Linked DNA regions of Callithrix jacchus. The protein of the gene in region 2 binds, or shares a complex with, the protein of the main gene of each other region. Links are inferred from orthologs where the notes say so. Each region holds a gene or a part of one and is shown on either strand. Other genes may lie near its edges.

Region 1 (3,749 bases), on a different chromosome or scaffold from region 2:
CCTTTCAAGTTTGTTATATGTCCGTATTGGTGCTAAGTGTCTTACCCAGAGCATTTAATCTTTAAAACAACCCTAAAAAACAAGTTTTATTATCTCACGTATTCATAGGAGAGAAAACAAAGTAACTTAACCAGGGTCACACAAGATTCAGCTCTAAATCTACTTTCTTTCAATACTCATGCTTTCTCCACTACACAAAATGTTTTAATTTCTTTCCTTCCAGTGTATGCATACAATTATGATAATGCAGACATTTTAGAATTATGACTAAGAAGCATACAAACAATGCTTCTGGGTCAAAGTTGGTGAGTTTGTTGGCTGGTTTATATTTAATTTTAATCCATCACGATTTTTGTATTCTCTGATGTATACTTCCCCTTATGGCCAGTCAGTTGCCCAGACACAGGTACAATGTACTGCAGATACTCTAAAATGATGGAAATGCCAGTCTTTGATGGCCAGGGACAGTGGCTCATGCCTGTAATCCCAGCACTTTGGGAGGCTGAGGTGGGTGAATCACCTGATGTCAGCAGTTCAAGACGAGCCTGGCCAACATGGTGAAAAATTAGCTGGATGTGGTGGCGCATGCCCACAATCCCAGCTACTCAGGAGGCTGAGGCAGGAGAATCCCTTGAACCCAGGAGGCCGAGGTTGCAGTGAACCAGGATCACACCATTGCACTCCAGCCTGGGCGACAGAGCAAGATTCCAGTCTCAAAAAAGAAAAAAAGAAAAGAAAAAGAAAAAAGATGCCAGTCTTCAGGACTCACTATTACCAATGGAGGTATGTGGAATGGCGCGGTGGCAGCTACATTGATTAGAACCATTGTTCTACCATACAATTTCCCTGATAATATTCAGGTACTTAATTTATGTGACCTGCTAAAAGGGATAGGGATAAGCATGATGTTGTTCACAGGCAGAGGAACTGAAAATAATATTAAAGAAAGATCAATTCAGGTAAATTTAGCTGAATTTATGGAGAGAGTAAGGTTGAATACAGCGATTAAGGTTTCTAAATAACTGCAGGGCTGGCTGGGTGCAGTGGCTCATCCGTGTAATCCCAGGACTTCGGGCAGCTGAATCACTTGACCTCGAGAATTTGAGGCCAGCCTGGGCAACATGGGAAAACCTGTCTCTACCGAAAAGAAAAATGAGTCAGGAGAGGTGTCACGGGCCTTACTCCCAGCAACTCGGGAGGCTGAAGTGGGAGGATCACTTGCGCCCGAGAGGCAGAGGTTGTAGCGAGCTGAGACTGTGCCACTGCACTCAGATCGGAGTGACACAGTGAGACCCTGTCTCAAAAAAAATAATAACTGCAGGACTGTAGTTAACGTGAGTTCCGTCTGAAGTGCTTGGTACTCTCCTCTTTTCCTAATATACACTCCTCCTGTAATTTTCTATTCTTGCTCTCACAGAACATTGTCCAAAACATGCTTATAGGACTTAATATGCATATTGCCTTATAGTTAAACGTCTGTGTCTCCCACCAAGACCAATCTCTTTGAGTTAAATTTAAGTCTTACTATTGTATCTTCAAATTTTGTATTTGCTTGTTGCCCAGCACAAAATGTGCATTCAAAAAAACCCAAAAAATATGTTTCCAAATGAACTTTCTTGTTGGAGGTAGGCAAGATCAATGTAACATTCTCTAAGGATAGTGCTGTCAGAAAACACAAATTGTTGCACACTACATGGGTAGCAGTTTCACCTGGTCCTCGGCTCATTCTGCTCTGGAAGTCTGGTTTTTTTCTCTCTCAAAGGCCAAGTCTCTCATTTCCAGACTCATCTCAGTAGTGTCGTCATCTAGGAAGATTTTCCTGATTCCCTCCTGTGGAACTTTGCCTCTCTCCTCTTTTTTGATACTCTATATACATGCTGTGGTGAACAATTATACTTAAGCACCTAAAACATATTATTATTCTCATTTGTTAACACGTCGAGCTCCTCCCCTTCAAATAACACACACAGCCTGAACGAACAAAATGTACTGGTTGCAAGATTTTATTCATCTATTGGACCACCAATGGTGGGGGTGTTTTCAAAAAGATGCTAGCATTTTTAATTATGGCGACCATCTCCAGAACCTTTCAAGTCCCTTCAGATGCACTGTTAAAAAATTATAATTACTGTAGGTTCAACTTTTCAGTTTGTGACAGGATTAGCTTTAATTTATAGCAATTCTCTTTACTTTATAAAACCAACTTGGGCCTCCTATATTCTTAAGCTCCTATTTCCTTCGGGGAAAGCAGTGGCCTCCGCCCCCTGCACACTCTCAAGCCTACAGAAGCTCGGCTCACCCCACACCACCCGGCCTCCCCTCGCCTTCTCCACGGACTCTAGGTCTCGCTCCCCTTTCCTAGCACCGCGTGCCGTGGGCCTCTTCTCACCGTCCGGCCGAAATTCGAACTCCAGAAACTCGTGCCCAAACTTGCCCTTGTGCCCTACGTAGTAGCGCAGATAGAAATCGCTAGCCATAGACATTTTTGTCCCTGCTAAGCCCGCCGAAAACAGACACAAGGTATCGCCCGGCGCCTGGCAGTGACGTCATTGCGCGGAATACGTGCGTCACCACAGGCGCCGCTTTTCCTCGTTCGGTGCAGCCCTGCCGAAAAGCTGGAAGGCCGAGTGTCGCTTGAGAGGCCGGAGTCACCGAAGGGAGGGTCGCAGCGACGTGACTTACGCTTTAAGAGGATTGGAAGCACACTATTTTCAAAATAAGGATTATAGTATATTAGCAAAAACTAGAAATCTGAGCATATGATAGTCTTTTTTATGGATTTAGAGCTAAGGTTTGCAAGTCGCTCTTACTTTTCTGGTCTCCCAGTCTGGCATCTGTGAGGTGGGTGTGGCTTCATGCGCCTCTAACTGTGAGCTAAATAAAGATAAAGCTTAGAATCGAAATAGCAGACTGGGAGTATAAACCGTTTTTCTTGGTTTCTAACAGGGTGCTTTCCCCTTTGGATAATGCTTGGTAGTTACCTGGACTATAAGCCTATAATAATAGAGACAAAGTCCAAGAAATCTATCACACGAAAGAGCTGAAAGTCTTAGACACACAGACACGCTGGTACACACTGAAAAACCCTGACAGTTATAACAGCTACAAGTCTATAATAATAGAGACAAAGTCAAAGGAATCCATCATACGGAAGAGCTGAAGTCTTAAAACACACACACACTGAAAAATCCTGACAGTCACCGTGCTTTTAACAGCAGAACTTCTAAGGTTTTTCATGCATTCAGTAAGGGTTAACTTTTAGTAGCCTGTGGAGTTTTGGCAATTTGATTTAAGATATAATAAGGATATTTAGCCCACGTTTCTCGCCAGGTGGAATTAAATTGGAGGCATGAAAGAATGCTCCATTGTGGGGTGGGTTTGAAGGAAAGGAAAAGACTAAAGTCTGTTTTTCAAATATGATTGATCACCCTTTTGTTACCAACACACAGAGTAATCCTGTCTGTCGGTTGATAACCTTCAATGGAATTTAGTAAAAAGTAATGAGAAGACCTGGGATTCAATCCCAACACTTACAGCTTCCTAACCTTGGGCAGGTCACTATCTCTAAGCCTGTTTGTTCATCAGTCTTATGCATATAGAGCAATCTACTTTGTCAAATTCACAGAATTCTTGAGAGATCAAATGAGAATAATATGTAAAATAAGCTTTAAATTTTATAAAACAGCTTTTAACAAACATTTCCTATGTGACAAAAAGTTTGAAACTAGAAATGAGCCATTTGCACTGGT
Region 2 (3,649 bases):
GACCGGGATGGTCTTCATCTCTTGATCTCGTGATCTGCCTGCCAAAGTGCTGGGATTACAGGTGTGAGCCACAACACCCGGCTGAAAATGACAGGTTTAAGTGTCCACATGGGAAATGGCTTTCTTCTTTTAACTAATAAAATTCTCTATAAATTATCTCTGCTGTCAACATCAGCATTTAGAAATTTGTCCCCACTGTCTGCCATCTTAATATAGTAATAAAGCCTTTGAACATGAAAAATGACTTCAGTGAAGAAAATCAAGTTCAAATTTTTCCTATCAAATTGTTCTCTGCATCTGGGAGATTATAATTAGCACATTACATTATCTGACATATTGAAAAATCTCAGCTCAAGAGTTTCTGAGCAACAGCTGGACAAGGGAGGGATGCTTTGTAAATCTACTTGTTATACCCCATTCACAGAGCTGTTGTAGGTTGGAAGCTTGAGAGAAGATTCTCCTCTGGCTAGCTAAAATGACTCAAGAACAAAAGGAATGTTTCTAGAGATTGTCTTCCAATGGTGAGAAGTGTGCTGCAACTCCAAATGAGGAGTTCCAGTATTTAAGTTAGATTTCAGACTAACAAAAGATCCTTCAATCTGTCTGGCTAGAAGAAGACAAACTACAATAGGCAAAATGGGCAACAGTTGGGCCTACTCTCTAAAACTATGCTGCCCAGTATGACACCAACAAGCCAAATGTGGTCAGTTAAGTTTCAATTAATTAAAATTAAAAGTTCAATTCCAGCTGGGTGCAGTGGCTCATGCTTGTAATCCCAGCACTTTGGGTGGCAGAAGTAGGAGGATGCTTGAGCCCAGGAATTCAAGACCAGCCTGGGAAACACAGTGAGACCTTGTTTCCCCAAAAAGTAAAAAAAACTTAGCCAGGTGATCCTAGCTACTGAGGAGGCTGAGATGGGAGGATTGCTTGAGCCCTGGAGGCAGAGGTTGCAGTGAACCAAGGTCACGCTACTGTACTTCAGATTCCAGCCTAGGTGACAAAGTGGGACCCCATCTTAAAAAAAAAAAAATCTGTATCTCTATATATAAATAATAAGAACAATAACAACACAAAAGTACAATCACTACAGAAAGTTCTACTGGATGATCTGTCTCTAGAAGATTAAGGAAATTAGGGAGGCTTACCTTTCAAAGATACTAGAGAAGATCTTGATCAAAATTCAACTGAATAAATTTCTCCCTTCAAACATTTACCATTAGTGCAAATAATAACGTTGACTACTACCCTTTTTTTACAGAGAGTAGAAAAGGATCCTGTACTCAGGAGGCTCAATGACAACTGGGCAGGTGCAGTATCTTTTACCTGTAATGCCAGCGCTTTGGGAGGATCACTTGAGCCCAGGAGTGCAAGATCAACATAGTGTGACCCTCATCACTACAAAATTTTTTTTTTTTAAATTAGCCACACTTTGGGAGGTTGAGGCAGACAGATCACAAGGTCAAGAGATCGAGACCATCCTGGCCAACATGGTGAAACCCCATCTCTACTAAAAATACAAAAAAAATTAGCTGGGTATGGTGGTACGTGCCTATAGTCCCAGTTACTCGGGAGGCTGCGGCAGGAGAATTGCTTGAAACCGGAAAATGGAAGCAGCAGTGAGCCGGGATCACGCCACTGCACTCCGCCTGGAGATAGAGCAAAACTCCATCTCAAAAAAAAAAAAATTAGTCGGGGCTGGGCACAGTGGCTCACACCTGTAATCCCAGCACTTTGGGAGACTGAGGTGGGGAGATCATGAGGTCAAGAAATTGAGACCAGCCTGGCCAACATGGTAAAACCCCATCTCGACAAAAAATACAAAAATTAGTTGGATGTGATGGCACACCCTGTCAGCAGCGCAGATAAGATCTGAATGGTATGTTTTCTACGCCCCCCCACCCCGCCCCAGGGGATAAAATCTCGCTCTATCACCCAGGCTGGAATGCAGTGGTACAATCTTGGCTCGCTGCAACTTCTGCCTCACAGGCTCAAGTGATTCTCCTGCCTCAGCCTCCCAAGTAATGGGGATTATAGGCGCATGCCACCACGTCTGGCTAATTTTTATATTTTTAGTAGAGACAGGGTTTCACTATGTTGGCCAGGCTGGTCTTGAATTCCTGACCTCCTGATCTACCCGTCTCCGCCTCCTAAAATGCTGGGATAATAGGTGTGAGCCACCGTGCCCTGCTACATTTTAATTTTCTACTCTTTAGGAATACATTTATTGATAAACTTTTACCACAACATAGAACTGAAAAGCAAACAAATCAATATTCTTTTTTTTTGAGACGGAGTTTCGCTGTTGTTACCGACTGCAGTGCGACGGCACGATCTCGGCTCACCGCAACCTCCACCTTCTAGGTTCAAGCAATTCTCCTGCCTCAGTCTCCCGAGTAGCTGGGACTACAGGCGTGCACCACCATGCCCAGCTAATTTTTTGTATTTTTAGTAGAGACGGGGTTTCACCTCGTTGACCAGGATGGTCTCGATCTCTTGACCTCGTGATCCACCCGCCTCGGCCTCCCAAAGTGCTGGGATTATAGGCGTGAGCCACCACGCCCGGCCACAAATCAATATTCTTATCCTTATTTCTAGAAGATAAAGACCCTATTTTCGCTGACCATGGCGGCTCATGCCTATAATCCCAACACTCTGGGAGGCTGAGGCAGGTGGATCACCTGAGGTCAGTAGTGCAACACCGGCCTAGCCAACATGACGAAACCCTATCTCTACTAAAAATACAAAAATTAGCTGGGAGGCAGAGTTTGCAATGAGCTGAGACTGTGCTACTGCACATCAGATCACACTGGGTGTCAAGAGCAAAATTCATGAATGTACCTATGAATGCATCTTTCTCTCAGTCAATGAAAAAGTAGGCGGGGAGTGATGGTTCATGCCTGTAATCCCAGCACTTTGGAGGCCGAGGTGGGCAGATCACAAGGTCAAGAGATCGAGACCATCCTGGCCAACATGGTGAAACCCCATCTCTACTAAAAATACAAAAATTAGCTGGGTATGGTGGCATGTGCTCATAGTCCCAGCTACTTGGGAGGCTGAGGCATGAACCTGGGAGGCAGAGGTTGCAGTGAGCCAAGATTGCGCTACTGCACTCCAGCCTGGAGCCAGGCAGGAGACTCCGTCTCAAAAATAAAAAAAGAAGTAGACATTTATCAGACACCATATTTCTGAGACAGAAGTCCCATGCCCCTAAACCTGATGATGCAAAGGGGAAAAAGCTAGCCATCAATCCTATGATACCTACCTCGAAGTTCCCGTGGCTGCAGGAAAGAAGGCTGCCCGGGACTCCAATTCTGTTCTGCTATATTTAGTTGTGCCACATCTTGTTCAAGTCCACTTGTAGTGGAATCCACTGGAGCCTCCCAGTTCCCAGTCTTAGTAGGTGGAGTTGCGGTGGTTTCTGGGACTGGAGGTGCTGGAATCAGCCCCTCAGGAGGAGGGGGCACCTCTTCTGCAAGCTTGACTGCATCTCCAACCTTGGTTCGGGTTCTTCTTGCCCGGGAATAGGATTTCTTCTCAATGGGCCTGTCCGGGGCTGGTGGTGTGGTATCAGGAGCAGCAGCTAATGTCTCTGAGGCTGTCTCTTCCTTCTCAGGACTGCCAGGCACTGGAGCATTTGCTTCTGGAGATG

What was found. Proteins that work in one complex are often made in the same cells at the same time.
Region 1: CASC3 (region 2) and MAGOHB share a complex: the UniProt entries of both Homo sapiens proteins name them as parts of the mRNA splicing-dependent exon junction complex. The link is inferred for Callithrix jacchus from reciprocal best matches to the Homo sapiens genes CASC3 and MAGOHB.

Annotation. Positions count from the first base shown.
Region 1 is NC_133510.1:12,487,882-12,491,630, reverse strand, and holds the start of MAGOHB (protein mago nashi homolog 2), read right to left. Parts: upstream 2,561-3,749; 5' UTR 2,484-2,560; coding exon 2,390-2,483; intron 1-2,389. UniProt on the Homo sapiens protein: Required for pre-mRNA splicing as component of the spliceosome. Plays a redundant role with MAGOH in the exon junction complex and in the nonsense-mediated decay (NMD) pathway.
Region 2 is NC_133506.1:71,774,504-71,778,152, reverse strand, and holds part of CASC3 (protein CASC3), read right to left. Parts: coding exon 3,263-3,649; intron 1-3,262. UniProt on the Homo sapiens protein: Required for pre-mRNA splicing as component of the spliceosome. Core component of the splicing-dependent multiprotein exon junction complex (EJC) deposited at splice junctions on mRNAs.